5 linked regions of the Cricetulus griseus genome follow. The protein of the gene in region 2 purifies or fractionates together with the protein of the main gene of each other region. This does not show direct contact. Links are inferred from orthologs where the notes say so. Each region holds a gene or a part of one and is shown on either strand. Other genes may lie near its edges. The genes, in order: Ilk, Pxn, Bcar1, Git1 and Git2.

Evidence for each region.
Region 1: the proteins of Pxn (region 2) and Ilk purify together in Homo sapiens (affinity purification with mass spectrometry; 4 studies listed by BioGRID and IntAct, with this or other methods). This does not show direct contact. The link is inferred for Cricetulus griseus from reciprocal best matches to the Homo sapiens genes PXN and ILK.
Region 3: the proteins of Pxn (region 2) and Bcar1 purify together in Homo sapiens (affinity purification with western blotting; 3 studies listed by BioGRID, with this or other methods). This does not show direct contact. The link is inferred for Cricetulus griseus from reciprocal best matches to the Homo sapiens genes PXN and BCAR1.
Region 4: the proteins of Pxn (region 2) and Git1 purify together in Homo sapiens (affinity purification with western blotting; 8 studies listed by BioGRID and IntAct, with this or other methods). This does not show direct contact. The link is inferred for Cricetulus griseus from reciprocal best matches to the Homo sapiens genes PXN and GIT1.
Region 5: the proteins of Pxn (region 2) and Git2 purify together in Homo sapiens (co-immunoprecipitation; 3 studies listed by BioGRID and IntAct, with this or other methods). This does not show direct contact. The link is inferred for Cricetulus griseus from reciprocal best matches to the Homo sapiens genes PXN and GIT2.

Annotation. Positions count from the first base shown.
Region 1 is NC_048596.1:93,963,199-93,968,935, reverse strand, and holds the start of Ilk (integrin-linked protein kinase), read left to right. Parts: upstream 1-2,354; 5' UTR 2,355-2,380; coding exon 2,381-2,469; intron 2,470-5,602; coding exon 5,603-5,737. Other genes in the region: Rrp8 (ribosomal RNA-processing protein 8), read right to left, coding at 1-317, 1,528-1,626. UniProt on the Homo sapiens protein: Scaffold protein which mediates protein-protein interactions during a range of cellular events including focal adhesion assembly, cell adhesion and cell migration.
Region 2 is NC_048597.1:95,637,073-95,643,082, forward strand, and holds the start of Pxn (paxillin), read left to right. Parts: upstream 1-2,704; 5' UTR 2,705-2,719; coding exon 2,720-2,759; intron 2,760-2,863; coding exon 2,864-3,090; intron 3,091-3,341; coding exon 3,342-3,451; intron 3,452-3,786; coding exon 3,787-3,923; intron 3,924-4,011; coding exon 4,012-4,213; intron 4,214-5,192; coding exon 5,193-5,328; intron 5,329-6,010. UniProt on the Homo sapiens protein: Cytoskeletal protein involved in actin-membrane attachment at sites of cell adhesion to the extracellular matrix (focal adhesion). Recruits other proteins such as TRIM15 to focal adhesion.
Region 3 is NC_048596.1:188,123,150-188,128,064, forward strand, and holds part of Bcar1 (breast cancer anti-estrogen resistance protein 1), read right to left. Parts: intron 3,495-4,915; coding exon 3,333-3,494; intron 3,128-3,332; coding exon 3,011-3,127; intron 2,104-3,010; coding exon 1,006-2,103; intron 403-1,005; coding exon 313-402; intron 1-312. UniProt on the Homo sapiens protein: Docking protein which plays a central coordinating role for tyrosine kinase-based signaling related to cell adhesion. Implicated in induction of cell migration and cell branching. Involved in the BCAR3-mediated inhibition of TGFB signaling.
Region 4 is NC_048600.1:90,896,723-90,902,369, forward strand, and holds the start of Git1 (ARF GTPase-activating protein GIT1), read left to right. Parts: upstream 1-1,843; 5' UTR 1,844-1,858; coding exon 1,859-1,982; intron 1,983-5,647. UniProt on the Homo sapiens protein: GTPase-activating protein for ADP ribosylation factor family members, including ARF1.
Region 5 is NC_048597.1:94,387,062-94,392,743, forward strand, and holds the start of Git2 (ARF GTPase-activating protein GIT2), read right to left. Parts: upstream 3,547-5,682; 5' UTR 3,401-3,546; coding exon 3,349-3,400; intron 1-3,348. Other genes in the region: Ankrd13a (ankyrin repeat domain-containing protein 13A), read left to right, coding at 5,156-5,251. UniProt on the Homo sapiens protein: GTPase-activating protein for ADP ribosylation factor family members, including ARF1.

The sequences.
Region 1 (5,737 bases), on a different chromosome or scaffold from region 2:
GAATATTTCTGGCATTTCCTCTTTCCTTTTTCTTCTTCAGCAGAGATCCCACCAAAGAGAGTTTGTCTGTGGCATTTCCTTTCTATTTCTTTGCCCTCAGAGTCACTGATAGATAACACCTGTTTTTGACATTTTCTTTTTCTTTTCTCCCCTCCTTCCTTCAAGGCATTGGCTTGTGAGGGCCTTTGGAGGTATTTTTTCTTCCTTCCTACCTCCTCCTCCTCAGAGTCACTGCCAGGTGGGCTGGGGAATTTCTGGGAAAGAGATGCTGCTTCCAGAGCCTTTAATGTGGCCAAGAGATGGCGGCGCTTGCGGCCCTAGAGGCAGACAAGGGATGAGAGTGGATGTGAGAATGGATGAGGTCTGGAGATTAAGAAAGGAGAGATGGGATTTAGTTCAGACACTGGTGATTTTTCTCAGCCAGTTTGTAAAGTGTGCCAAGCCCAGAACTTTCAAGCTGCAACCCCACGATCTAGGAAGCTGGAGAGTGGCAACATGCTTCTACCCTGCTTTTTTAAGCCTGTAAAGGATTGTCAGGTGATGTTCCTTAAAGGAATGTGCTAAGGTCACAAACCACAGGACCAAGACAAGACCGCAGCTGATAGCATTCCAGGAGCACCAGAGAGGTTTCTTGAAACAGGAAGGACAGCATCACACATGTCTATTAAAGATGTTCCTAACTGCAGTAGCGATAATAGCCAGGTAGGATGAGGCTGCACACAGGCAGGCCAGCGGCCTGCATTAGAAGGATGGAATACAGATTAAAAGAACACCCTGGGCTGACTAAAAGTCAGGAATACCCAAAGGAGATACAATAGTTCTCACATTCGATGAAACTCAAAGGAAAAGAAAGACCTGTTTTCTGTGAAGCTGACTTGTGGTTCAAGTCCTGCTGCTGATCCTCGGCCAGGCATTTACCTCGGAAATTCTGGGTTCCCCATACCTTTTTTAAAATAGTGATCCTGATAACCATCCCTGCCACCTGCTTTGACTGTGTCCAATATACTTTCTACAGTGCAACTAAGAACCTTTCCAAGCTGGGGGTGCAGCTCAGTAGTGAATGCTTGCTTACCAAGCCCTGGAACTGATCTCCAGTATAAAGTCATGCCTGGTGATAGAAAATGTGGCGAAACCACTCCATTGCTAAAGCAACTCCATTGACTTCTACCCTTAGCGTACGAAAACTTACTTTTCAAACCTTTCATTTACTCTGTACTCCACCCTCCGAACCTCGCATTCCTATCTTGATACACTCTAACTCGGTGTGTTTAACCCCTGGGCTTCTCCAGGTTTTTCTCCATCTCAGGTACGCTCTCTCCTCTGTACCAACTTCTCACCAACTGTATTTTAAGGTCAGTTTTTTTTTTTTTTGGGGGGGGGGGAGTTTCCGGATCTTCAGATAAGGACTAACTCCCTCCATCCCGATCCACGACAGCACTGCAGGCTCTCGGTCTCCCCAACACGCACAAGGGCGGCTCGGGAGGGTCGGCTTCGCCACCTCAAACAGCCCAGTCCCCGGCCGCTCACCTTGACTGGCGGAGCAGTCGCTGGCCGATTCTGTGTTGTCGCTGGACGGAGGCCCACGGCTGCTGGGGCCGCCTCGACCCATTCGGGCTCCTCGAACATGCCAGTGGAGGGCAGGGTCGCCGGAGCCCACGCCACGGCCACGTGCAAAGCCCGTCAGGGTATCGTAGCGTTGGACCCTAACCAAATCCAGCCGGAAGCCACAGAGTGAAAGCCTGTGGTGGCTAGAGCGGCCGGCGCGGAGCAGAGCACCATCGAGTGCAGCTGCCGGGAGCTAGAGAGGCAGTAGGAGGTCGGAAGGGAGGGACGGTGGCCCGCTCTGGCCCAAGAGGGCCGGGCGGGGCGGGGCGGGGCGGGGCCGGGCGGCGGGCGCGGCCGGACGGGAGTTCCCCGGAGAAGGCGCCTGCGGCCCGAGTCCCGGTGAGTGCGGGTGTCTCTGCGCCCTGCCCCACATTGGCCCTGCAAACCCATCTCTGCGATCTCTGCAGCAGTTACGAGCTGGGAGCCGGGGCCGCCCGGGAAGGTCCTCTGTCTCCTCCTCCGGGTGTTTGCAGCTTGTTCTCCCCCCCGTCCGTCCCCCCCCAGCCGTGCTCGCGGGTCGGGACTCGGTGCCCACAGACACCGGCTCAGGAGATTAGCAAAGTCCCTCCTATACCGCCACACCCTGCCTGTCCCTCGCGCCCAGTGGTCGTCTCGCTGCCCGAAGTCCTTCACAGACGACCACTGTCACTCTCGCAACGCCTAGCCCCCCATCCCAGAGCAGACAACTCTGTTCTGCAGAGAACAGAGCAGAGCTCATCCTCTTGTCTCTGCTTTCCCGCAGTCCCCCAAGGCTTCTCCTGTCCGGGACGCCGCTATGGACGACATTTTCACTCAGTGCCGGGAGGGCAACGCGGTGGCGGTGCGCTTGTGGCTGGACAACACAGAGAACGACCTCAATCAGGGGTGAGCTGAAGCGCTGGAGAGTGAGAGAAGGGCTGTCAGTCTACTCTCCGCTACGTGGGGTGCTCATGTCGGGCGGGGGCAGCTGATTTTGCCATCTAGTGTGAAGAGTATAGTAAGCACAGACTGTTGGAGGGGTATCTACATTGAGGAAGCTGTGTCTGAACTGAATTTATTAACTAAGCTTCACATTCAGAGGTTCCGGGTTGCTTTGCAGCCTCTGTGAACTCATGTCAATGGCAGGCCAGAGTGTCAGGCAATTGCCTGGAATTACATGTGGTTGGAGAATAGGTTTCTGTGCCCTGGAGCATTGGATAGAAGTGAAAAAGGACAGATGTCTGTAAGCAAAGTTCTGAAGCTGTGTGGTGATGAGACTGTCCATTTGTCTAATGTCATCCTGGAAGTTGCCTTGAAGTGATGTTTTGGACTAGAATTCGGACAGTTGAAAAACTAGAAGTGGTGAGATTCTCCCAGAGTCATAAGGATGAAGTAATTGACTTGACATGGGAACTGAGGGTAGTCAAAGATGGCCTGGGGTTTGTGAGGTTTGGGCACTTGGATACTTGGAAGTTGCTGATGTTCTGTCTGGACTGATACAGTTATGGTGGCACTACAGCAACTGGGAAATATTGGGCAGGTTGTTGGTTGTGTAGATTTGAATTTCAGGAGAAGTCTGACTTGGAGACCAAGATACCACAAATATCATTTAAATGGTATCTGAAGATTCTATAGTGTGAAAAATAGTACCTCAAAAGAGCAAGAAATTAAAGCAGAGGATTAGAAGCCTATCCAACTGACAGGTATCAACCTTCTGAAGGAGAAATAGGAAAATGGATTAAGATTAAAGAATGTTTTAATGAGCTGGTCACTTGTAGCATAGGCTTCTGAGAAGTTAAAGAACATGAATGAGTATCTTATGTTCTTCAGTTAACTTATATTTAGGTCATATTTGATCTTGTAAATGAAACTGCAGAAAATTAACAGGAACCTGCTTTATACTGGGTTCCTTCAAATAAGGAACACCACCTATAGTGGGTACTAGAGTCCTTAAATCAGACATAATCAATGCCCTCGAGATGGCAGGCTTCTGGAAAGGAGAAAAGTGAATGAGAAGCGAGGAAACGGAGAAAATATGAACACTTTCTAAAATGCTGGCTGATACAGGAAAGAAAGAAAAGTGTTGTTGGGAAAGTTTAGTAGGTGGTTTTGGTTTGCTTTTGGAGATAGGGTGTCATGTAGTTCAGAGTGGCCTCCATCCTACTGCCTCAGCGTCCTGAGTGCTGGGTTTTCAGTTTGCTGTCACCATGTGTGACTAGAAGAGTGTACTTTTTTAGGTTGTAAAGGATCATCTGTCATCTTAGGCCAGGTTTCACCAGTTCCCTTTAGGCTGTGTTATTTCTCTGTAATATTCAGTTTCATTTTTCACATGATTCGTAAGCTCTGGTACACACTGAGACATGTTTTGTTGGTAAGGAAATAGAAGTTTAGGCTGTTGTCCCCAGTGGGAGTGACATTTTGGAAGATTCCTTGCTGTCAAAAGGTGAAAGGGCATCATTAGGGAAACCAGAAAGATTTGGTGGCTTAAGGGGACAGGGTGTGTTGTTGGTGGTGGTTAATATCCTACAGGCTTTCTTGAGATAGAAATCTAGGCCCTGGGGTGACAGTGAGCAAAACTCAGTGCATTTATTTTTGTTCTCAAGCTTGGGCTTACACTGAGGCCAAGACTGCCGGAGGCTGTTAGGTCAGAACACATGAGAAGTCTGGGAGACAAGACTGATAGCAAGGGATATACTCACATCCTGGGAAAGGTTTTGCTGATTGTGTTAGCAGATGAGGGCTAACTGGAGGAACAATTTTTTTAAAGCTACATACCTCCTTCAGCTGTTGAGGGATTCTGGGTGACCAAGTCTGGATCAGCTCAAGGCCCCTCCTCCAGCCCCCTTACAGGAAATGACCACAGCACTAAGGCATCCGGAGGCTGCAAGCCTAAGCCACAGACCGCCCCGTCCCGCCCCTTAGATCTGCATCCCTGGACTGGAGGGAATTTCCTTTTATGGCTCCAGGCTGTCAGTTTGACCCAGCCCACCCAATTGTTTTGTTTGTACACTTCTCTTTATAAAATATATGTTCTTAGAGAATGAAAATACTAATCAGATATAGTTTTCATCTTAAAGCTTCTATATATGTTTTCTTTTGTGTGTTCTGGGTTGATAAGTAGGAAAATCCTGTTTTGTGTTATTATCTGCCTCATCAGTAATCAAAAGCATGTTTTTTTTTGTCATTATATCCCTCCAAAACATTTTAATTCCATTCCATTTTTAGATGTTAGTTTCAATACCAGAGCCAAATAGTAAGCTTGTTCCCTCTCCTAAGTTATGGCCTCCTTCTCCAATATGCCCCTCTCCCATTAACTTGCATAGAAAGAACATCAGCTGTCAGACTCTGTCCTCAAGCATATGATCTAACAGGCAAGACAGCTGACATCAACAGATTCTTTTCTTTTTTTTTTTTTTTTTTGGTTTTTCAAGATAGGGTTTCTCTGTGTAGCTTTGGAGCCTATCCTGGCACTCGCTCTGTAGATCAGGCTGGCCTTGAACTCACAGGAGATCCACCTGCCTCTGCCTCCCGAGTGCTGGGATTAAAGGCGTGCGCCACCAACGCCCAGCTACCTCAATAGATTCTTACAATCTAGTCAGTGTACATCTACAATAAGGAGAGGCACAAGAAGCAGTGGAAACAGAATTAAAGGTGTGGCTAAAAATGTATGAGCTGAAGATACAGCTTAGTGGTATACATAGCATATGCCAAGTATGTACAAGGCCCTGGGTTTGACTCCTAGTACTGTCAATCAAGGAGCAGCAGACGCCAAAGAACCCAGAAGAGTGCTATCACCTAATGAAGAACTGCTAGGGAAGAGGATCTAGGAGATGGTCATTAAAGTAATAAACCTTACAGTTGTTGGGACATCTGAGTGACTGGGTGTGAAGCTCAAGGGAAAATCTGAATTGAACTTTGTGAATTGCTGACATGAGTAAAAATTAAGTACTAGAGAGGCAAGCCTTCTCAGTGAATATAGAATTCTCCCATCAAAGCTTTTGTCCCTCCCAACCTCCAATTCCATGCCTCTTTCTCAAAGGGATGATCATGGCTTCTCCCCCTTGCACTGGGCCTGCCGAGAAGGCCGCTCTGCGGTGGTTGAAATGCTGATCATGAGAGGAGCACGTATCAATGTGATGAATCGTGGGGATGATACCCCCCTGCACCTGGCAGC
Region 2 (6,010 bases):
AAACCCTATCGCAAAACAAACAATGTTATTTTTTGAGGCCAGCCTGTTTTACATAGAGAGCTCTAGGACAGCCAGGGTTACATAGACCATATCTCTAAAAACAAAAACAATAACAAAAAAGGATGGGCTGGTGAGATGGCTCAGTGGGTAAAGGTACTGTAAGCTTGGTGACTTGAATTTAATACCTAGAACCCATGCAAAAGTGGAAGGAGAGAACCAACTCTACAAAGTTGTATTCTGGGCCAGGTGGTGGTGGCGCACGCCTTTAATCCCAGCACTCAGGAGGCAGAGGTGGGTGGATCTCTGTGAGTTTGAGGCCAGCCTGGTCTACAGAGGTTAGTACCAGGATAGCCAAGGCTACACAGAGAAACCCTGTCTCAAAAAACAAACAGAAAACTCCAAAAACCAAAGTGGCATGTGATAAAAGAATATACCTGGTAGCTGGGTGATTGTGGCACACACATTTAATCCCAGTACTTGGGAGGCAATGGCAGGCGGATCTCTGTGAGTTCGAGACCAGCCTGATCTACAAAAGCTAGTTCCAGGACAGCCTCCAAAGCCACAGAAAAACCCTGTCTCGACCCCTCCCCCCAAAAAAGGACATACCTGGCATAGATTTCCAACCTCCACACAGGCTCGAACTGCTGAGCACACATACACACGCACACACAAAAGAAAAGAAAGAAAACAAATAAATGAGAAAGGCTCGTGCCGCTGGGAGTGGTGATGGAGGTCGGAGAATTGAGAGTTTGGGGCCACCTGGCTTACATAACAGGACCCTGTCTCCGTTCAGAGGTGGACGTTACCATGCTGCAAGGCACCAGGTTCTAGCTCTAGTACCATAAAAATAGAATAGAAAAAAAAAAAAAAAGAAGTCAAACCAGAATCTGGCCCATAAACCAATAAAGCCAGACACAGCATCGCACCATGGGTGCAGGGCATGGGGACTTGTTGAGCGGGCAGTGGAACTCCTGATTTACCGGCTAGCAGGGAAGGCCATTGTCTTCCTTGGAGTGTTTGGAACTGGAGGGAACTGTGTTATCCCTTAGCCATCTTTGGCAAGGGGGACCTCAGCCCAGCCCTCTATGGCAGTGTTGTTGGGTTGGGGGATGGCAAGTTCCACAGGTGAAGCTCTTGGCCCTGATAGGTGTACAGGACTGCTCTTGCCAGCCCCATCAGGGCTGTATTTGTGGCCTGCTCTGTGGAGCTGGCCCTGCAGGCTCAGTCTGTGATGGAGGAAGAGGAGTTCCGCCTACTTTGGGCTGGGCCCAGAGGAAATGGACAGCAGGTGTGGCCCTAGAGACTCTTTGGGATTGGCTTTGGACATTAGTTCCTTTTATGCCCTTACCTAGACTCATAGAGACTCCCTGTAGTTCCGGTTTGTTGGAGGCAGGAAGTCAGAGCTCCTCCGGGGGACCTGGACGGGGAGGGGCTGCAGGAGCAGAATTTCTTCAGCAGCAAGAGACTGGGACCCAGGGTCCCGGCCTTCGAACAACTTCTCGTCCAGCCATACAGCAGGAGCCAGGGGTAGGTGCACCCACCCTAGTGACAGGTAGTCAGGGCTGCTAGGAGAGGGCATGACCTCAAAGGCCCTTGCTTCCCTTTTCTCTGCATGGGAATGGAGCTACAGACAGGGCCGCCAGCAAGGATCAGAGCTCGAGCCCCTGGTGTGTAGGAAGTTGAGTTCCTTAGATTTGGTATCTTGTCTCTTTGAAATCACAGCAGTCCCTCCTGCAGGCTTGGTGTCTGGGACTTAAGGAGTCTGAGGAGTCTTGTGATCCTGCCCTTTCCTGCTTTATCACTCAGGGCAGGTACTGCTAGCCTCCAAGCCTACTTTCCTCAGCTCCAAAGACAACAGTTTGGCCTTTTAGGTCACCAGAAGGGGCACTTGTTTGTGACCACGCGTGTAGATGCCTTTAGTGGTTCCTAGTAGATGGTGATCAGTGCAGTGCAGCCACTGCCCCTCGATTGCCACTCACGAGGGCCCAGGAAGCAGGTCACTAGATGCTGAGAGTGAGCAGGTCAGTGAGCAGTGCAGGAAGGAGGGAGGGTGTGGTGAGCGGGGCTGGACTGTACCCAGGCCGTGGCACTGTGGAAGGTCCCAAGATGGGAGGCTATGGCAGGAAGGTCAGTACCTCCAACTCCTGTCCCTCTAGCTGTCCCTTCCTGTCGAGAACCTGAGCCTCTTGTCGGCTACTGCATGCCAGGGTAATGGCAGCTTGTGTTGGAGATCTGACCCACCCCCCATTAAAAGCGGAGTCATGGGGCCCTGGAGTTTCTAGGGCTGGGCTGCTTGCCAGGCTTTGGCAGAGCAGTCTTACTCCCAGCTTGTTGAGGGGGTGGCTGCTGCCGAGCTGGCTTCATGCCAGCCCCCTACCTCTCTGCATACCTTACCCACAGCCTGGGGCCTCAGGAGGAGCTTAGAGCATGGAATTCCGCTCCTACCTGGAGCACAGGTGCTCCCTAAGGCCACCCCCTGTCTTTAGACTTGGGCTGAGGCTCTTAGAAGTCCAGAGAGGACCTGGCTCTATCTACCCAGCCCCTCCCTGTGCTGTGACATGACGTAGGACTCCTCCCACCCAGCTCTCCCAGTTGCCCTCAGGAATCAGAGTTCTAAGCAGGCATTTCTTGCTTACACCAGGCAGCAGCAGCCTAGCCTTGTCAGGAGGAATGCAGAGCCAGGCATCTAACCCCTGAGGGAGGAGAGGACGGGCAGCCGATGTGGAAACTCCAGGTCTCTTCTCCCATCGAAGCAGCAGGTGTCTGCCAGACAGGATCTCTTCAAGTTCAGGAAGGCAGGACACTGCCCCTGGGAAGTGCCCAATAGGGCCAACTCTCACCAGTGGACGTCTTCTCTTTGCAGACGCCCTGCTGGCAGACTTGGAATCAACCACCTCCCACATCTCCAAACGGCCAGTGTTCTTGTCAGAGGAGCCCCCTTACTCCTACCCAACTGGAAACCATACCTATCAGGAGACTGCAGTGCCACCCCCTGTTCCACCACCCCCATCCAGCGAGGCCCTCAATGGCACGATCCTTGACCCCTTAGACCAGTGGCAGCCTAGTGGTTCCCGATACACTCACCAGCAGGTAAGGTGGGGTCTGCGGAGCCCTTGGGGGCTGAGTGGTAAAAGGAGCTGATCTGCCGAGGAGATGGAAAGCCATTGGGGATGGACTGGGATTCTGGGCTCCTAGTCATACACTGCCCTTCTCACCCACCATGTGAGGGGCCAGTGACCAAGTATTAATCACCTGACTAGCTGTGGAAATTCCCTGGTGAGACAAGCTATGAGCAGGAGCTGCCTGGGGGTGGCCTGAGTAAAGTACTCTTTCTTCTGCAGCCTCCATCCCCGTCACCTGTGTACAGCTCCAGTGCTAAGACTTCCGGTGCCTCTAACCCTCAGGACAGCGCTCTCTGTTCCCGAGCAGGCGAGGAAGAACACGTCTACAGGTACAGAACCAGCACTGTACATCAGCCCGGCTTCTGGGAAACCCTAGGGCCACTGGTGGAACTATAGAAGGCCTGAAGGCCCCTGCCAGGCCCTGTGCTTGTCAGCTGGCTCCCCTCTGCCCTGTCACTGCCTTCTCTGTAGAGACAGCATCTCTGTAGTTGAGAAACTGAAGCAAAATTTCCTTCCTCCTTGCCTTACCACATTCCTTCCCTACCCTCCGCCTTCTTGCTGAAGAGACTTGGTAACATTCCACCCCTCCGGCCTTGAGAATCTGGGGCCTGCCACATCCAGTGCAGGGCAGAAGAGTCTTACTTGTTTCCTCTCCTTCTCAAAGCTTCCCCAACAAACACAAGTCCGCAGAGCCTTCACCTACCATGATGAGCTCCTCCCTGGGCAACAACCTCTCGGAGCTTGACCGTCTGTTACTAGAACTGAACGCTGTGCAGCACAACCCTTCAGGCTTCCCTGCAGGTGTGAGCGGGTCTCTGGACTACTCATGGGCCTTTGGGTTCCTAGAGGACTCAGGGATGAGCAACCATTTTGTTTCCTTATCTCCAAGATGAAGCCAACTCAAGCCCCCCACTACCTGGAGCCTTGAGCCCCCTTTATGGTGTCCCAGAGAGTAACAGTACCCTGGGAGGAAAAACTGGGCCCCTGATGAAAGAGAAGCCAAAGCGAAATGGAGGCCGGGGCCTGGAGGATGTGCGGCCCAGCGTGGAGAGCCTCTTGGATGAACTGGAGAGTTCTGTGCCTAGCCCTGTGTGAGTATCCATTAGGGTCTCCCCAGGCTGGGGAAGCTCTTGAAGTCTCACCCCGACTGTCTTCGGGCTGTGTGGTACCTGTCCATCAGCCCTGAAGTCACCTGCTCCCTACAGTGTCTGCTACTTGCCAGGTCCTGGGGATATGGCATGACCCGGCAAAGCCAGGGTTAGCACAGGTTTGCTGATGTGGCACAGGGTTTAGATCATGGCTGTGCCAGCTACAACAGTCTTACTCTCGCTCTATAAGTTGGAATAAGCCAAAGTAGGGCATGGTGACACATGGTTATAATCCCAGCATTTGGGAGGTCGAGGTTTGGAGATCTCAGGTGCAAGACCAATCTGGGCTATATAAGTGAGTTCCAAGACAGTCTGAACTGCATGAGACCATAGCGCAAAAATACGACATAAACTATAAAATAGGTAAAGCAGACAGTAATAATGGAGATGACCCTACATAGTAAATAGAGTGAGACCAAATAGTATATAATAGTATATAATGTTGGGGGGGGTGGGGGCTGGCTCGTAGCTGTGGCAATCACAGCTATTAGGGAAGCCCCTAATAGCGTCAGGTCTTGTTTATTTTGAGGTAGGGTTTCACTCTATATCCCAGACTCTTCTGAAACTCACTATGTAGTAGCCCTCCTGCCTCAGCTTCCCAAGTGCTGGGTTACAGGGATGAGCCACCATGTGTCAGTGTTTATTGATGTGTAATAATCTCGCATGTGTATAGTGTTGAGAGGCTTTGTAGTGGTGCCCCTGTCTTCCTGTAGGGGTACTGTGAACCACCTACCTTCTCTGGTCACCTCACCTCAGCACTGTTTCTTAGCTAGTCACTCTTTCCCAGGGATGGGGATCCCTAAGGTGCTGCTGGGTTCTGGTGGCCTTCCCTGGAGTTGGAGGTGTCGTTGATCTGGAGCCCCCCCCGTGGAGCCTGGGGCTGACCCTTGGGCTCCTTACTGACTCCATGCCTGCCCCACAGCCCGGCTATCACTGTGAACCAAGGTGAGATGAGCAGCCCACAGCGAGTCACCTCCAGCCAGCAGCAGACACGCATCTCGGCCTCCTCTGCTACCAGGGAGCTGGACGAGCTCATGGCTTCACTGTCGGATTTTAAGGTGCCCTCTGATTCTCTCTGTCTTCCCTGCTCCCATCCATTACCCTTCCTCAGTATGACTAGCAGCTCCTCGGGGCCCTGGAGGAGAGAGGCTAGGTAATATTCAAGACTGAGCTCCTTAGCAGCTTGTGAAGGCAGAGAAACCAGAGATGCCTTTAGCTGGAACATTCCTCCCTCTCCTGGTGATCCCAGCCACCAGGTCAAGGGGACCAGGAGCTGGAACACAGTGACAATGAGCCCTGTGTTGATAGCTGCTCTTGGTGGGGGAGGGTATGTCCTGCTGGGCCCCGTGGGACCAGGACCTCATGCCTGAGAGGTCACTTGTCCCAGAGCTGTATCTCCCACGCTATCTGTCCTCAGAGCACCCGCTTTCTTTCTGCTGTGGGGATGGGGTTTTCCAGCATTTCCAGCCAGCTTCCTTCTACCCTCACTTTCTTCTTTAAGGGCCTGAGTTCCCAGAGTCCTGTCTGTGGGAAACTTAACCTGCCAAGCACCTGGCCAGTCGGCATGAGGCGTCCCACCTTCCCCTCCCAGGCTCTCCAGGCCTGCCTGTCCACAACGTTTTCTTTAGAAGATGTGGTGCCTCAATAGGGATTAATACTGACTGAAATTTCTCATAGTTGCTGACTTCAGCTCCATGTGGGTCAGCCAGAGACCTTTGAGGCACAGCTTGGGGAATATGA
Region 3 (4,915 bases), on a different chromosome or scaffold from region 2:
ACGGACTCATTACTCTGACAGTAACTTCGTTTGTGTTTTATTGCTATGCCTGTGATGTCTCAAGCATGCTAGTCAATTGCTGCAGTCACAGCTACTCAGGAGGCTACAGTGGGAGGGTTAGCTGAGCTCAGGCAGAGTTCAAGATGAGGCTGGGCAACAGAGTGAGAATGCCATCTCAAATTAATTAGCCAAATTAATTAGTCAGAAGGCAGTGATGGCTACGATGCCGGATAGTGACTGGCTGGGTGGAGGGCAAACAGGGCTCTCTATTCCTGTCGGGTCTCACCGTAAGGTGACTACTGGGAGCCTCACCTGCTGCAGCTCCAGTTGGCCTTTTCCCTGCCGCATTATGTTCCCCTTTTCTAGTAGCTCCTTCTGTGTCTTCTCAAACTCCTCCTTCCCCTGCAGGGAAGAGACAAAACACTGACTGAGAAGTCTCTTCTGGGACAGAGGCACCAGCAAGTACCATGGGTGCAAGGGCCAGGGAACCACCAGGTGGCAGTGTAGGCACACCAGGCCCAGAAGAGGCAGCTTGTAAAGGAAGCAGCCCCTACAGGAAGGGTCTGGTGCAGGAAGGTAGCTTTGTAGAGGGTACAGTCATTCTACAATCCTTCCCTTAGTCTACAAATGGAATGGCATGCAGGTGTCTTCTCAGAGGTCATTCTCATCCTACCTCCCTATTCCCCTTGTCCTATGTCATCTAGACTCTACCATCTGTCTCCTCAGAATGTTTCTACATAGAATGGAGCCACATCTATGGCCACTAGGAAAGCCCATTCCCCAAGGTGTTCTGGAGCCATCCTGATTGGTCCCTCAAGGCCCAAAAACATAGTCAAGTTGATCATCAGTCTAATAGCACAAAATACAGAGAGGGCACTAGGGTTCACCAGTGACCATTCCTGGAGCCCAAATCTCCCTTTGACCACAAGATCTCTATGTGTGGGATAAGAGGCCAGGGGAGATCATGGTCAGAGCTTTTGGGGCCCAGGCAGGCTGAGAACCCACCTGCAGGTGGACGTAGTCATAATCCTCCATCCAGCCTCCTTCACTGTTCTCATACTGCCCATCTGGAGAGTCCTGGGAGGTGAACTTGGGGGGTGAGGGCAGAGGGCGTGACTGGATGCTGCTGGCTTTATCAGTGGGGTTGGGGTGCAGGGAGCTGCCTCCCTCAGGCCCTGGGCCAGGGGCTTTGGTCCGTCTGAAAAGCAGTGAGGCATTGCCATGCAAAAAGGAGGCCAGCTGTTTGGCATCCTCAGGCACGGCCCGTGAGCAGGCCACCAGGCGGTCCATGTCTTCAAGGGTGAATCCTGGGCTTCCCCGGCCACTGTCAAGGACCTGACCATGGACCACCAGTGTCTGGTACACATCCTCCATCTTCTGTAGTTGCCGGCTAAGCTTGGCATGCAAGGTGCGGTCAGAAGTGTGGGTGGCATTGCTCACAGCACTGCGGGCAAACTCCAGGAGCTCATGTACTGCCCCGTGAACTGCAGCCACTGCAGCTTTGAGGTCCTGCACAGGAGGCTCCTGAGGCTCAGAGGTGCTACGCCAGCCCCCAGGCCCACTGGCACTGCCCACCAGGTCCAGAAGGTGGGCTACAGTGGTGCTTACACCCAGCTGCAGCCGCGCAAGGGACTCCACAGCAACCTCCAGCTCCAGGGGCTCCCGGCCTGGCACCACTACCTCCAAGGAAGATACTGATTGGCTGCTGCGTGTGCTGCCTGTGCTAGAGGCCGACAGGCGCTTGCCATCTGTTGGGGCCTCTCGTTCAGCTGGTGGAGGTACAGCATACACACCATCATCAATTACATTCCCATCAGCCACCTCAGGAGGGAGCACCTGTTCACGAGGCACATCATACAACGTTCCAGGGCCAGGACGCCTCAAACCAGGGGGCACGTCATAGAGGTCAGGAGCAGGGGGTGGCACATCATAGACATCCTCAGCTGGTGGGGAGTCTGTGGGAGGCGCAGCAAGGATCAATGGGTGTCGGGTTGGGCCAAAGGGCTTGGGCTTGGCGAAGGCAGGGGGTACATCATATGTCTCCTCTCGCTGCAGGGGGCCATCGGGCACATCCTTGCTCACGGACGGAGGAACATCATACACCTAGGGGACCAAGTAATGATTAAGACTGTTGTCTGTCTGCTCAGCCCTGGAGCTCAGGGGCAGAACCCAGCCAATGTACACACCCAGCCTGATTCTTAGCTATGACGACTATGCCAAGAACCTAGCCCTGGGGCTAGCTGACTAACTCTAAGTGCCTGGTTATTCATCTGTAAGATGGGGAACTCCCTCCCAGTGAAAGGCTATATATGTGTTCAGTGTGCAATTCTTAACTGCAGACATGTAGGAGAGACTTGCTACCATAGTGCCAATGCTGCTTGTTTGTCTCATTCCCACCACAATACCCAATGTCACTCTCATTGGTAGTCTTTCTATTTGTATCAAGCACTTGGCTGGGCTTTGTATGTTAGATTCCGGTTGGCTCTCAAGACAATTCTGTATGATTATCAGTCCCTTTTACATTCCAAGTGTCCTTCCTGGTTTGGAAGACAGATTTTGTGCTCTTCCTTTTTGATACCTCTCAGAGCATACATAATGAGAAGACCTGACAATGGGCTATTTTCTGGGGCTCAGAAGGGCATTTATTTTCTTTTTTAAAATTAATGTACTTATTTATTTTTTATGTGAATGGATGTTTGGTCTGCACGGATGTCTGTGCACCAAATGCATACCTGGTGCTAAGAGATCAGAAAGGGACGTTGGATCACCTGACACTGCCAGACAGTGCATGAGTGCTGAGAATTGACCTTGGGTCCTCAGGAAGAGCAGCCAGTGCCTTGGCCACTGACCCATCTCTACAGCCTGGGCATTCAGCTTCTATATCTGTCCCGGAGCAAGTAAAGACAGAGCCAGGGTCTGCAGACAGCAGTCCAAGCCCAGTTCATACACTCATCTGTGCCTTTTTCACCTTTAGAAAGGTCCAAGGCCCCAGCATTTGCTGGCTCCTTACCGAATGATGATTGGCTGGTGGCAGGCCTTTCTCCACACTCGGAGGCACATCATACACATCCAACAATGGGTCTCTGCCATTGGGGCCCTTGACTGCCATGGGAGGTGTGTCATATACCTGGAGGGCACAAAAGAAGGTGCAATGATACAACTGTCAGGGATATATGGTTTAATGGGATGAGTGGAAGTCCCCAGAAACCTACCTTGGGCACCTGGGCTGTAGCTGCTGTGCTTCTCAGGCCCTGGCTAGGCTGAGAATATACAGCTCCCACAGCAAGGCCCAGTCCCTGTCCTCTCCCATGCCTCTGATCCCCAATACTTACCTCCTGGCCATACTGGCTGGGAAGCAGTCCTCGTACAGGGGGCACATCATAGATGTCCTGGGGACCTGGAGCTAACAGGTGGCGTGGGGTATCATACTCGTCTTGCTCTGTCTGGGAGGCCTCGTATACATAGCCCTGTCCCACTCGAGTAGGGACCACCACCTGGGAACAAACAGCTGATTGCACCACTGGCCCTTGAAGCTAGCCCCTATGACCTACCCACAGATCCATGGGAGAGGTAGTGGTGGGGCTCTGCAAGGGTAGGCTTAGAGGCATTGCTTCTCATTCCTTTTCTGGAGTGAAATGCAGTGCTTGGGAAACAATTATTAGACCCCTAAGTTTTGTTTAGAGCTGTGTGGTTCTGGGCCATGAGACAGAAAGTCTCTACAGCCAGATGACCCAGTAGATTCCAGAGTAGGGTATGTGAATGACAAGATGGGATAGGAAGGGTAAAAGGCCTGACTCTTGAGGCAACGCCAGTGGGCAAGGCGCCAGCCCACGTAAGGTCTCTTGTGTCATTCCTGTTGACACCTCTAAGCTGCCCTGCCCCTCAAAGTTCTGCTCGGCAAGACAGCGACCTGATTATAGGACCACCACCATTTCCAGACACTGGAGGCAGAGGATATAGCCTGGCAAGGCAGAAAGCAACCCTCCCTTAGTAGGACTAAGTAACTTAGTAGGACTACTGAACATAATGACCACAGAGCTAACTCTTGAGCAGACGCACAGGGCTAGGATATAAGGTCAGTTACATGGCAAAGGAATTCTAACTGGAACCACTGTAGCCACACCCATAAGCTATCTTGCCCACCTGAAAGGGTAAGGCCTTAGTGGGAGTCCCTGGTCAGAGGGAGCCAGTCCCTTCCTTCCCAGGACCCTGACCCTGGATCCATGGCAGTGGGCTCTGTATGGAGGGCAGGCACTACCCCCTGGACCATGCTGTTCCTCCACAGCAGCACTCAGCCTGGAAGGGATGCAAGTGTGCCAGGCAGCCTCCCCTCTACAAGATTCTCCAGCCAGGCTCAGGGCACCCTCCCCCATGGGGCTCCCTGCTCAGCCTTCTCCACAGAAAGGCCTTTTGTTTTCTAATCAAAGGGGATGTCTGGGACAGGGTTGACTCAGGGCCGCCACACACACACATACCCTGCCACGTTCAGGCTCAACACTCTCAAACCCAACCCAAGCTTCAGCAGGCATACACCAGCATAACCCCTCAGCACCCCCCCCAAGACACAGGGGCACCCGGCAGACCCAGACCTGACAACCTCCATTTGAGCTAGGCAGATAACACTCAGTCCAGCTGGGATTCTGGACTGCCTCTAGCAGACAGCCTGGCAGGCTGGTGTGTGCCACTATAGGGGCTGCAGGGTCTCCTCTGTGGGGTGTCCCCACCCACCAATAACAGGGCCTGGGGGGCGGAGTTGCAGCTGCCTCTCCAGACTCATCTCCCTGCTCAGGCCCCAGACTTGAGTCTCCTCCAGGGCTATTTTTAGATGTTGGAACCTGCCCATGGCACAGCAGACTGGGGCTGAGGGACGTGGCAGGTTAGACGGGCCTGTGGCAAGGCCTGAGGCTTCTCTAGG
Region 4 (5,647 bases), on a different chromosome or scaffold from region 2:
TGTACTTGGCGGGGATGTGGCCACAGACCCACCTGGACACTGACACGGACACAGAAAGGACCAGAACACACACCTCACCCCAACCCAGCTTCTGACCGCGAGGAGCAATGTGCCTGGGGATGCTTCTTGTCCGCCCTAGCACCCATCACATCCGTCTCTCGGCTCCTGGACCACTCCCCAATCTGAAAGTGAAGGTCAAAGAGCTAGCGGGGTGTCTCGGTTGCAGACCAAGCTGGAGCGGGCCGCGGCTCCTTTAAGAGGCCCCGTCCACTCGGGCCGGCGCGCAGGCTTCCTCTCTCTGAGAGGCGCGGCCTTGGAGAGGAGCGGAGCAGCGGGGCGGGGTGCGTGCCGCCCCTCCCCCGGTGGGCAGGGCCTGCGCTGCTTCCTGCAGGAGCGGCCCGGGCCGCGCAGGGGGCGGGGAGAGCGGCGAGCGGCGGTGGGGCGGCGCGGGGCGGCGGGGCGGAGGGCGCCCGAGGGCGAGCGGGCGGGCGGGCACGGCGGGTTCCGGGCCAGCCCCGGGGGCGGACGGTTGGCCGCGCGTGCGGAGCCTTGCGGGGCCTTGCGGGAGCCGGGCCGGGCCGTAGGGCCGCCGCCGCCGCCCGGGCCCGCCGCCCGCGCCCCCCACGCTGGCCCTGAGGGCTGCGGCCGCGTCGCCGCTGAGGATGTCCCGGAAGGGGCCGCGAGCGGAGGTGTGTGCGGACTGCAGCGCCCCGGGTAAGCGGCGGGACCGGGCCGGGGCGGGACCGCGCCGCAGGCCGCCGCCGGGCGGGCGCCGGGGCCTGGCGGGAGTGCCGTGCGGGGCCGGAGGGCGGGGCGGGGGCCACTGCGGAGCGGCGTCCTTGGCGGGAGGGCCGGCTGCGGGGGGCGCTGTGCCTTCGAGCCGGTGGACTGGAGGGAACCGCCTCCCACCTCCATCTCGGCATCCAGACGAAAGCGCCAGCCTGGGGTGGCAGGAGGGCCGTGGCGGAGGCCCACAGGCTGTGGGAGGTGGGCGCTAGTATGGTTTGTGTCATCCCTGCCACCCCCGCGTCTTGCACCTGCTGCTCACATGGTCCGCGTGCCCGCCGGAGCGTTGGAGGGCAAGGGGCCTGGATACAGGTTTCTCGGGAGCACCTGACGGGGGTGGCTACTCTAGGACGCCCAGTCCCTGATCCCCAGGGCTGGGGCTCATTGTAGGGGCCCTACGTTAAGGGACAATGTAAGTATGGGCATCTTCCCCGGAAGCATCTCCAGGCCTGCTGGTGTCTGGGAACAGCCAGACTCAGCTTTTCCTGTTCCGGGTAGGCCTGTTTAAGAAGGTGTGCTAGGTATTGCCTCAGTCTAGACACCGATTCCTCTTGCTCTCTAGACCATTCTGGATCAGAGAAAGTGCCTAGGCTCCCCTTGTCCGACTGGGTGGACTTGCACACTGCTTCCTCCCCCTTTCCCAGCAGAGTTAGGTCTGGACTGGTTTGAAAGCCCTCTGGCTTGCTGAGGAGGGCAGCAACTTACCAGACTGGTCCCTTAGGTGGAAAGACACAGCCAGTGATGGGACTTAGCAGCTGGCCCGAGGAAGGAAGCTCTGGCCTTTGCCCATCCTCTATAAAAGAAGCTGGCTTTCCAGATAGGCTCGGAGTCTTATGAACTCCATGGGGACTGTAGAAGTGATTAGGTGAGAGTGTGGAGTGCTGACTTGCAGTCACCCCTTAGAAGTCCCAAGATCTTATAGTGTGAGCCCCACAAGGAGTGATGGTCCCTTGGTTCTTGTGCTCTACGGTAGAGTATTGGGAGTTGTGGACATCTGGCAGGGGTGTGAGCATGAGACCTCCTTAAGGTATGTCATGTTTTGTAGGGCCCTGGAGGATCTATTTACAGATAGATGTCCTTGCCCCTAGTTAGCTGGAAACTGTCACTCCCTTCCCCTGGCCATAGGTTGGCCTGGAATGGAAGAGCTATTCTGCATTGCTGTGGGGTAAGCCTGGGGGCCTTCCAGGTACCATCAGGTGAGTCTGGGTTCCAGATTACCTTTGTTTCCAGCTTACCCTGTGACCTATAGCAGCACTTTGCTCACTCTGGGCCTCCATTTCCTCAACTATAACACAAAGAAGATGGGATAGAAGTGGATTTTGAGGTTCCTCCCAGTCCCCAGTCTCTGTTCCTGGTTCTGGAGCAGAGACCTGAAGATAGTATCAGCAAAGCTATGTCTTCTGTGTTGTCTGTGACTGCCTGGCTGGAGCCTCTGGGGACCCAGTGGGTGCTAGGAGGAATGGGTATGTCAGATGTTAGGCCACTGAGCTCACAGCCCCCGGCCTCATATGACAGAGGCAGGCCCACCTTCATACTCTTTTCCTTCCCGCTGATCCAGAATGTAAACCAAGCATATGTGCAGAGCATTGACAATCTCACTCATTATCTTACCTTAGCACCTAGGGCAGTGATTGGCACACAGCAGCCACTCCCCAGGTACAAGTGTTGGTGTGTGTCAGGACTGCACTACACCACACTGGTGCTGACACACAGTGTCATTCTAGATCTGGGCTTATAGCATCCTGGATGAGAGCATGAGCATGCCAAGCATTCTCTTGTATCACATGTGTATGATATATGTACATATATATATATATATATATATATATATATAGAGAGAGAGAGAGAGAGAGAGAGAGAGAGAGGTATATCTTATATCCCTGTATACTCATACATCCCAGTATATCTCTAGTCCAAAGTCACAGACACCCAAAGTCATAGAACTCTGCTGTTAGCGGGGTATGATAGCACATGCCCAGCACTTATGAGGCAGATCTCCAGGCCAGGCAGGGCTATGTTGTGAGACTATGGGGTAGGGTCATGGTCCTTTTATAGCTTATTAACTTGGAGGGTGATAGAGGCAAGAGGTGAGATGCAGTCTGTGCTCAGAGACAGGTGTAAATGTGTTGTAAGGCATCTGGACACAGTATAGCTGCTGGCAGTTTGTGCTACCTTACCAGTTGCAGTGTTCCTGCCTGCCTTGGGAATCCAGGGTAGGACAGGAGTCAGAGTGCACCGGAGAATGTTGGCTGTCCCCTTCCTTTGCCTCAACCCACTCTGCCTCATTGCCTTGCTTCCCAAGAACACTGGCCTGGCTCTCAACTGTCCACTTCTCAATCCATAACCTATATATCAGCCTTACACTTTGATACACAAAAGTAAAGACCTCCAGATACACAGCCTATAACTGATCAGAGCTGACCACCAGCTGAGGAACATGTTGCAGGGCAACCTATAGGCTCATTTGTCTTCTTACAAGTGCAGGACAGATGGTAGGCTTTGCTCCTTTTTTCCCCCGAGACAGGGTTTCTCAGTGCAACCCTGGCTGGCCTGGAACTCACTTTATAGACCAGACTGGCCTCAAACTCAGAGATCCACCTGCTTTTGCCTTCTGAGTGCCGTGATTAAAGGTGTGCATTACCACGTCTAGCTCTTTGTGGGTTTCAGACATGTGTGAACTTGTGTGGCCACCACTCAATGTATAGGACATTGCTTCCACCTCTGACCACGCCCCCAGCAGTAACCACCACTTTGACCTCTGTTCCCTTGGATTCCTCTTGCCTGCGTTCTGCATAGCAGATTTCCCCCCTCATTTTCCAAAAATTTGGCTCCTAGCTTAAGGGGGAAAGGCTTGAGGCTGGTCTTTATATGCAGACCTGCTGGCCGTAGAAGCCACTGATGGCTTTTAGAGGTGACATGAATTTACTTTAGGGCCTTCCTATGGTTGACTCCATTTATCTTATCCAGTGTGCTTTCTGATGTCTGGCCCCTTATACTAACCCTTACCTGCCTGTGGAGCAGCCAGAGGAAGGTGCCATGTCCTCTAACCCTCGCATATCCTCCCTTTCTGTCCCAAGTTTGCAAGTAGCAGAAGCCCTTCCTGGCCCTTATACTTGAGAACTGGCAAAGGTGGGATTTTAACTGGCTTGGCAGGCCAAGGTTGGACCTAGAGTGCAGGTAGAATTGTTAGGACTGACTTCCTATCTGTGTCATCCAGAACTGGCCCAGACCAAAACAATGTCCCCTGCCCACCCTTCCTGTTTGAGGTCACTGCAGAGGAATAGGAGGACCCTTCTCAGGCAGGGAAACCACGCCAAGCAAAGCCTTCAAGATTGAAGCTTTGGGACCACTGGCCCTGGATATCAACTGGTTCCTATAGACCCTCCTCGGGGCCACAGGGGGCTGGGGTGGAGGCCTCAGGGCTGCCCATTTCTGATCCTGGCCTGGGCGTCTCCCCACTCACAGGAAACCCTACCTCTTCAACAAGAGGAATTTAGGCTGCATCATTTCCCGCTTCCTGCCTGGACTGCAGGAGGTGACTGGCAGGCAGACCCCCTGACCCAGTGGTGTTTGGAAGTGGGGGAAGGGAGTTTTCCATGTCTTTGGGCGGGGGTTCTCATTGTTTGGGTAAAACCAACACTAAAGACTCTAGGGCTCCCCCTTTTGGCGGAGATGACTGGTTTCCCAGTTCTTAGAATCAGTCCCCCTCGCCCCAGGGCATGTACTATGTACGTCCCTCATTGCCTTGTTTTGTGAGTCCCCAAAAGAAGCCTGGATCCAAAGACACCTCTTTTAATTCCTGTTTCCACACTGTACTGGGGAACTGCCTCCCAACATGGGCAGAGCTTAAGCCCTGACTCAGTCTGCTCATGGTTGTGGGAACTTTGATGGAGACATTGGCTCCAAAGGCCTGCCAAGTGCCTTCTGGTTGCTCAAGATTACCTTCATCCCAAACCTGTCCAACCCCGAAGAGTCGAGTCCCCACTTCGGAACATCCTGAATTGTAATAAGGAAGGCAGAGAGCCAGCCCCACCCCCAGAACAAGGCTTCCTGGGCCTGGGTGGGGGCCTGGGCAGAGCAGAGTGTCCTGGGAGAGCAGCTCCCTGCCCCCACTCTGGACAGCACACAATGGCCGCTTTCTCCCCCATGACCTTTCCTTTCTGTGGCCTGAGCTGTGTGTGCTTTCTCCTCCCCTTCTCCAGAGGGGCTTGGGGTGGTAGCATCTCTACTACCCTTGAGGACCAGGAGCTCCTACCCACTTGTCCTCACTGGAGAATGGCTTCCCAGGCTGGTCCTGAGACTGCAGGGGCAGAGGGCAGCAAGTTTAGGCTTGGCCTGGTCTGGCATTGAAGTACCTGCCTCCAGCATCCCAGCAGCTGTGCTTATTAGCTGTGTGACCTTGAGCAAGCCCTTTGACCTCTCTGAGCCACTGAATCCTCATCAGTAGAGCAAGATAGCACTTGTGAAAGGAATTGTGAGCAAAATACTTGGCCAGTAAATAGTGAAACCTCAGCCAAGGTTAGTTCCATTGCTCAGTCTGTCCTTAAGGCTGCAGCCCACAGTTGATGGTGGCATGAAGCTGGAAACTCCAACTGTGTCAGAGTAGGGGTAGGAACCAGTCTGTCGGATGGGGTCCAACAGGAACATACCCAGGACTGTGTGATACACGGCGTCAGGGTCATATCCCATAGGAGACTTCTGCCTCCCTGTGGAATGGCTAGGCAGCAGTCTTGATTCCTGAGGAGAGGCTGTGAAACTGGTAGCAGTGGCTGTGAGACAGGACACTGTACCCACTGAGAATCCTTGGGGACCATGCATACCCAGGAAGGTGCAAGGACTTACAGGAAAGGGCTCGTAGCCA
Region 5 (5,682 bases), about 1.3 Mb from region 2:
AAAAAGAATGACACCTCAGTGGCAAGGACACTAATTGGATGCTATATACAGGGTGGTGAAAGATGGCTGACACTTGATTTAAAAAAAAAAACAAAAAAAAAAAAACAGAACAAGTTTTTGTTGTTTTATGTTTCTCAATATATGACTCGGATGGACCAGCCTGAGGATCCCACCCACCTTGACTGAACTTACAGCCCTACACAGCAGCTGCCTTCTTCCTGTGCAGGCTCGTCTGCAGCCTGACTGTGGGTCCACCACCACACCATAGGCACATACTCTTACAGAATGGTAAAGAAGCAGATTGAAGGAGCAGGGGTGGGTCATTCTACTGTTTCCTTGCAGTGCTGGGGATTGAACCTGGGGCCTTGTCCATGGTGGGCACGCTCTACCATTGAGCTCCGTCTCAACTCAATGAATCATTTTTAGTCCATCTTTGTAAATAAGACTACACAATCTTGACAGTGGATTATTCTCATACAGTATCTAAAGTAAACAGTGAAGTGCCCACTGCCCAGTGTAGGAAGTCAAGGCCCATATGCTAACACAAATCCAGAAGAGAACTGCAGAATTGTTCAGCTCTTCTGAGGCAGGAAAGGGTGGCCCACTCCTCTAAGGCAATGCTCTATGACAACACCAGTTGTTTTAGACAACCTGCTGGATCCAGTCTTGCAGCTGACTCGAAGGAAGGCACCTCACAGAAATAAAGACGTAAACCAAAATGAACAGCATTTCTCGTTGAGTACAATACTTTCTTTCCTTTGAAATCCAAAAAAGCTTCATCACACAATCTTTCATAAGAGGAATAATTTACACTATTCAGGCAGGATGGTTCTGGGCAAGTAAACTGAGCCTTAGAAACCCCAAATAAAGACAGGCCTTTCCCATTCCATCAGACTCACAGTGCGGTGACAGTAGGTGCTACTCCAGCTGCCTGGCCTAAGGGTTACACTTTAAAATTCTTCAATGTCCACAAAAATCTCTAAAATGCATGTATATCATGCTTACCATTTTTAACAATTTATTCTAACCCCTTCAAACCATATAATGAAAAGTTATGGGATTTCAATCAGAGACAAACCCTGGGAGCCAGAGAATACGGTGGTAAGAGGGTTGGTTATGGAGACAAAGAGCCCATGGTTTGAATTCCAACTCTGCCACCACTTCTTGTGCAATAATCCGAGGCAAGTTACTTCTTTGAGTGTCCTCATAGTGGGACAGGGAGGGTCAATGCAAATAAGAATAAATAAAGTATCTATCATGGGGGCACAGGAATGATGCATTTTAAATGAACTAGATTCATTAAAAACAAACAAGAATCAGGGCTGGGCTTTGTGGAGCCCCCACACCAACCACAAAGGTAAACAAGACATAATCATAGTGAAGTGTGTTCCCTAGGACAAAACAGAAAAGAATCCAGCAGGTTCAACTGTAGTTGCTACTATGGCATTCTAAGGAGGCGGGCGGGGAGTATGAAGATTCTGACAGACACATGCAACACTGCTTCTGCATCGTCTATTAGTATTAGGACTGGACATGTGGCTTTGCTTTTTATTGTCAGAGGTTCACAGTATTCCTAGGCAAATCAACCAGGAGGAGAGCAATGGTTTAGCCCACATTAAACCAACGGTCTTGATTAATCACTTAAACACCACGGATCAGAATCCCAAGGAAAGAACACTGACAACACAGAAAATGACAATCAAGCTTTTGTCAATGAGGTTGGGTGAAGTCCTTCCAGTTTATCTGGAAGGTTCCATGAACAAACACTACACATGGACTTCAAAGGTATCTGTGCCTCCGGCCATCGTATGCAAATTCTGTCCAGGAGAGTTAAGTATTTCATCGTCTTCTGAGATGGCCTGCACATTAAGATTTCAAAGGAGCCCGAATCCTACAGCTGACCCTCCACCTAAGCGGTGCATAAAAGGCAGCATAAATTCCTAGTCTGCCAGTTCACCCTTCAAGGTAGCCTCATTATATTCAAAACAGGAAGGAAGTGACTCAAGTTTTTCTAGATTTTGGCATTCAAGACAACTAATATGAAACAACAGACAAGGTCCTGAAATGGCACAAATGGACAAGACAGTTTTCAGGGTACCAAGGAGAAGCCATCTGCTTTTGCCTCGTACCTTCCAGTGGAGAAGTAAAGAATGTGCATCCCAAGAGGAAGTTTTAAGTTAGACACACATGAATCAACGGAAAACAGGCAAGAAAAGAAGGAAGCGGAACAATCGACATTTTATAGAAAATGATAGTTTGTACAAACCTGGCTTAGAGTATAAAGCACTCCTTTAAAAACCCTCCCTGCCTGTCTTTACCTTCCCTCTGAACTGTTAACCTGTAGTAGCCAGGACTATGAAATAACTAAGAGTTAGCACAGCACCATTTACAATCTGCCTCTGCTTCTAAATGACAAGATGAAAACAGTTACAAACCGCCTGTGTTCAAAGACTTAATTAGGCTTGTTTATTGAACATCGGAAAGTCATCTAAATATGTAACTGACTAAACACTCGAAGTTAATCAAGTCCAAGAAACAAAATGATCACAAAAAAATCCGAATCAAAACATGTCAATTGGATTCCAATTACTAAGCCAGATCCAATCTTCGAATCCAAACACTATCTGCAGTAGGAGCCGTTTTGGCCATTCGATGTCCCCGAGTTTACAATGCCAGCGACTGTGTGTTTGGTACACTTCTGAAGCCAAATTGCAGCTGAAGGAACTACAACGGTTTTCAACTGAGTAACATCATACAAAAGACACGATCCCCTGGGGAATATCCCACTGACCACTGCGCACTGTACTGGTGATAATTTCCACCGGGAAAATGAGGAAAACCAGGTTAGAGCAAGTGAAGTCATTAGTCCAAGGTCACGCAGAGGGGCGAAACCTGGTGGGAAACTTGAGAACCCGAGCTCGGGCTGTCTCCCCCCCCCCCCCCAGGAGCGGCTTGCAGGGCGCGGGACAACCCTCCACTCGGGGCCCCTAGGGCAGCGCAGCCCAGCGGTCGCGCGCACGCTCGGGCCGGGGGACCGGGAAGGGGAAACACCTGCAACCTCGCTCGGGCCGCCCGCGTCTGCCTCCTGTCACCGGCTTTCCGGGGCTGCCGAACCCTTCCCGTCCCGTCCACTCCCGGGTCCAGTCGCCTCTGCCCTCGGTCGGGCCGCGGAAAGGAGTGAGCGACCCCCGGGGCCGCGAGGCTGACAGGCCCGGGACCGTCTCGCGCCCGGGCGGCCAGGGGGGTCGGCGTGGCTGGGCCGCAGCCAACCTCCCGCCCGCGGGGACAGCCCCGCCAGGAGTCCGGACCCCGAGAGCGCGGCGAGCGGGCCCCGCCGGCGTCACTCACCCGGCCCGCTGCAGTCGGCGCACACGTCGCTGCTCCGGAGCCGCTTCGACATGGCTCCCGCTTCACCTGCCGGGAACCCCGCGACGGCAGAGGCGGCGGCGGCGGCGGTGGCGGTGGCGGCGGTGGTGGCGCTTCCGCTCTAACGGGTCCCCGGGCGGCGCTGGCGGCGCCTCTCCCCTCAGCGCCTCGCAGCCCCGGCACACTGCGCACGCGCGGGGAGACGTCCTGCCGAGCCTGACGGATCATGTGACCGGAAAGGGCACGCTTCCTTATCGCCATCTTGAATGAGGGCAGAGGTCTGCCCGAGCATCCTTTGCCTGTCTCTAAATACTCCCGCAGTTGGGCTTTCCCTTTTGGGGAGTGATTTCCTGATCCTGGACCCATTAGTACCAGAGGAAGAAGCAAAACCTTGTGACAAAAAACTCTAAACGTACAATCTCCCGGAGACAGTCATCAGTTAAGTTCATTTAGTCATGCCCATCTCTCCAAAGTGATGTTAACACACACTCCTTTATTAAAGCTTTTTAGGCACCATCTCGGTGTTACTAATCCCGTATTAGCTTCACTCAGAGGAGTGAGCTAGGTTGGTTACAATTCTTGACCGGCCCTTGCACTCATCTGAAAAGCTGGGACGACTTCGTGGCAGCTGTAAACATCTGGGCAGACACAACACTGGGTTGGTTCTTCACTGTTTCAAGAAGTCGCAGCCCAGAGGATGGATTTGACTTGTGCCTGTTGTGGGCCAACCTGGAGACTTACTCTATTAGTCCTCTGGGCCACAATCCTAAATCCGAATGGCTAGCTTAACGAGACTGATGCGGGATAGACCTTCAGGGTGAGTACTTTGAATTATAGCCTAGTTGGGAATTCAGACAAAATAAGTGGTTTTCAACTGGGCGATTTATTTGTTTGTTTGTTTGTTTTAACCTCCGGGGGACAACTGCGAACGTCTGGAGACCGTTTTGGGGAGAGTGCTGATGGCATTGAGTAGGCAGCGCTCAGCCTCCTACAAAGCGTCCACAACAAAGAACCCTCCAGTGCAAATACTCCAAAGCTTAGAAGCCCAGAGACACAACTACCCCGATATCTTGAGGATATCTGGTGCCACCTCTCCAGGGTTCAGTCCTTCCGTGGAAACGATTTCGTGTTGCCCACTTCCAAAATGGCTTCTGACCAATCGTGGAAGGCTCCAGCCAGATGGTTTGGTCCAGGCTGGCACCCCCGGGCTACAAAGCCAATGGAAGGGGCCCATTTGTGGAGCGAACCACTGGAGGGGCTGGAGCGGCAGGGGAGAGCCAGGGGACGCGCACCCTGAATTTTGCGCTTGAGGATCTCAGGCTTCCTGGCGGGGGGATGTCCCACGTTTCCATAGACCTTTGATCGTCGTGTGTCCCGGGGTGGGGGTGCGGCGGGACGAAATGGATCAAGGCTCGGGTCTGTCTCGGGGCCGCGTCCCCCGCCGCGGCGCTCGGTGGAACGCCCCGTGCACTTCCCTGTTCGGGGCGGTTCGGCCGGCGACAGTCGGTTCGCGAGCTGTCAGCTCGGGCGCGAGCGCGCGGGGCGCGGGGTGGGCGCGGCCGAGCGGGTCCCCGAGCCGGTCCCCAGCCCGGCCCGCGACCCCGGGCCTCCAGAGCCGCCCGCTCCGGCCTCGGAGGCCCCCGCCGCCCGCCGCGTCCCGCACTCGCCCGCTCGCCGCTCTCTTCCCCTCGCTCTCTGGACAGTCGGGCGGGCGGGTCCCCGAGACCCCGTCGGATCGAGGCTGGTGGCGGCAGGCGGGCGGTCAGGCCCGGGCCGCGGCCTCCTCGCCATGTCCTCGGCCCGCGAAGCCAGCAGCCGCTTCCCGCTGCACCTCCTGGTTTGGAACAACGACTACCGGCAGCTGGAGAAGGAGCTGCGGGGCCAGGTGAGGCGCCGAGTCGGAGTCGGAGTCGGTTCGTCTCCCGAGCCCCGCTAGGACCCGTATCGAGCGATTCCTGTAGACCGGGCTGTATGCCGAGGGCTTTTGGTACAGTGTCTCCTTTCCATTGTCGCTAGGAATGAATGCTGATATGACAGGGAAGGAAACTGAGACCCCAGAGCCTACTTGCCTTGCGCAAGGCCACCTGGCTAATGAGTACCAAGTCTGGATCTTTAATCTCAGGCTGGCTGGCCCCCGAATGCACCTTTAGGTTTTATGGCCTCCAAGGCGGAAGAGCAACACACACACCTCTTACTTCACCCACCCTTGTTCTGGGGAAGAGCTTGGTTGGCTTCGGAGGCCGGGTTCTAGCTCCCTAGTGACCTTGGGCAAAGCAGTTACGTTCTGGGGCCCACTCTACCTTACCCGTAGGGTGA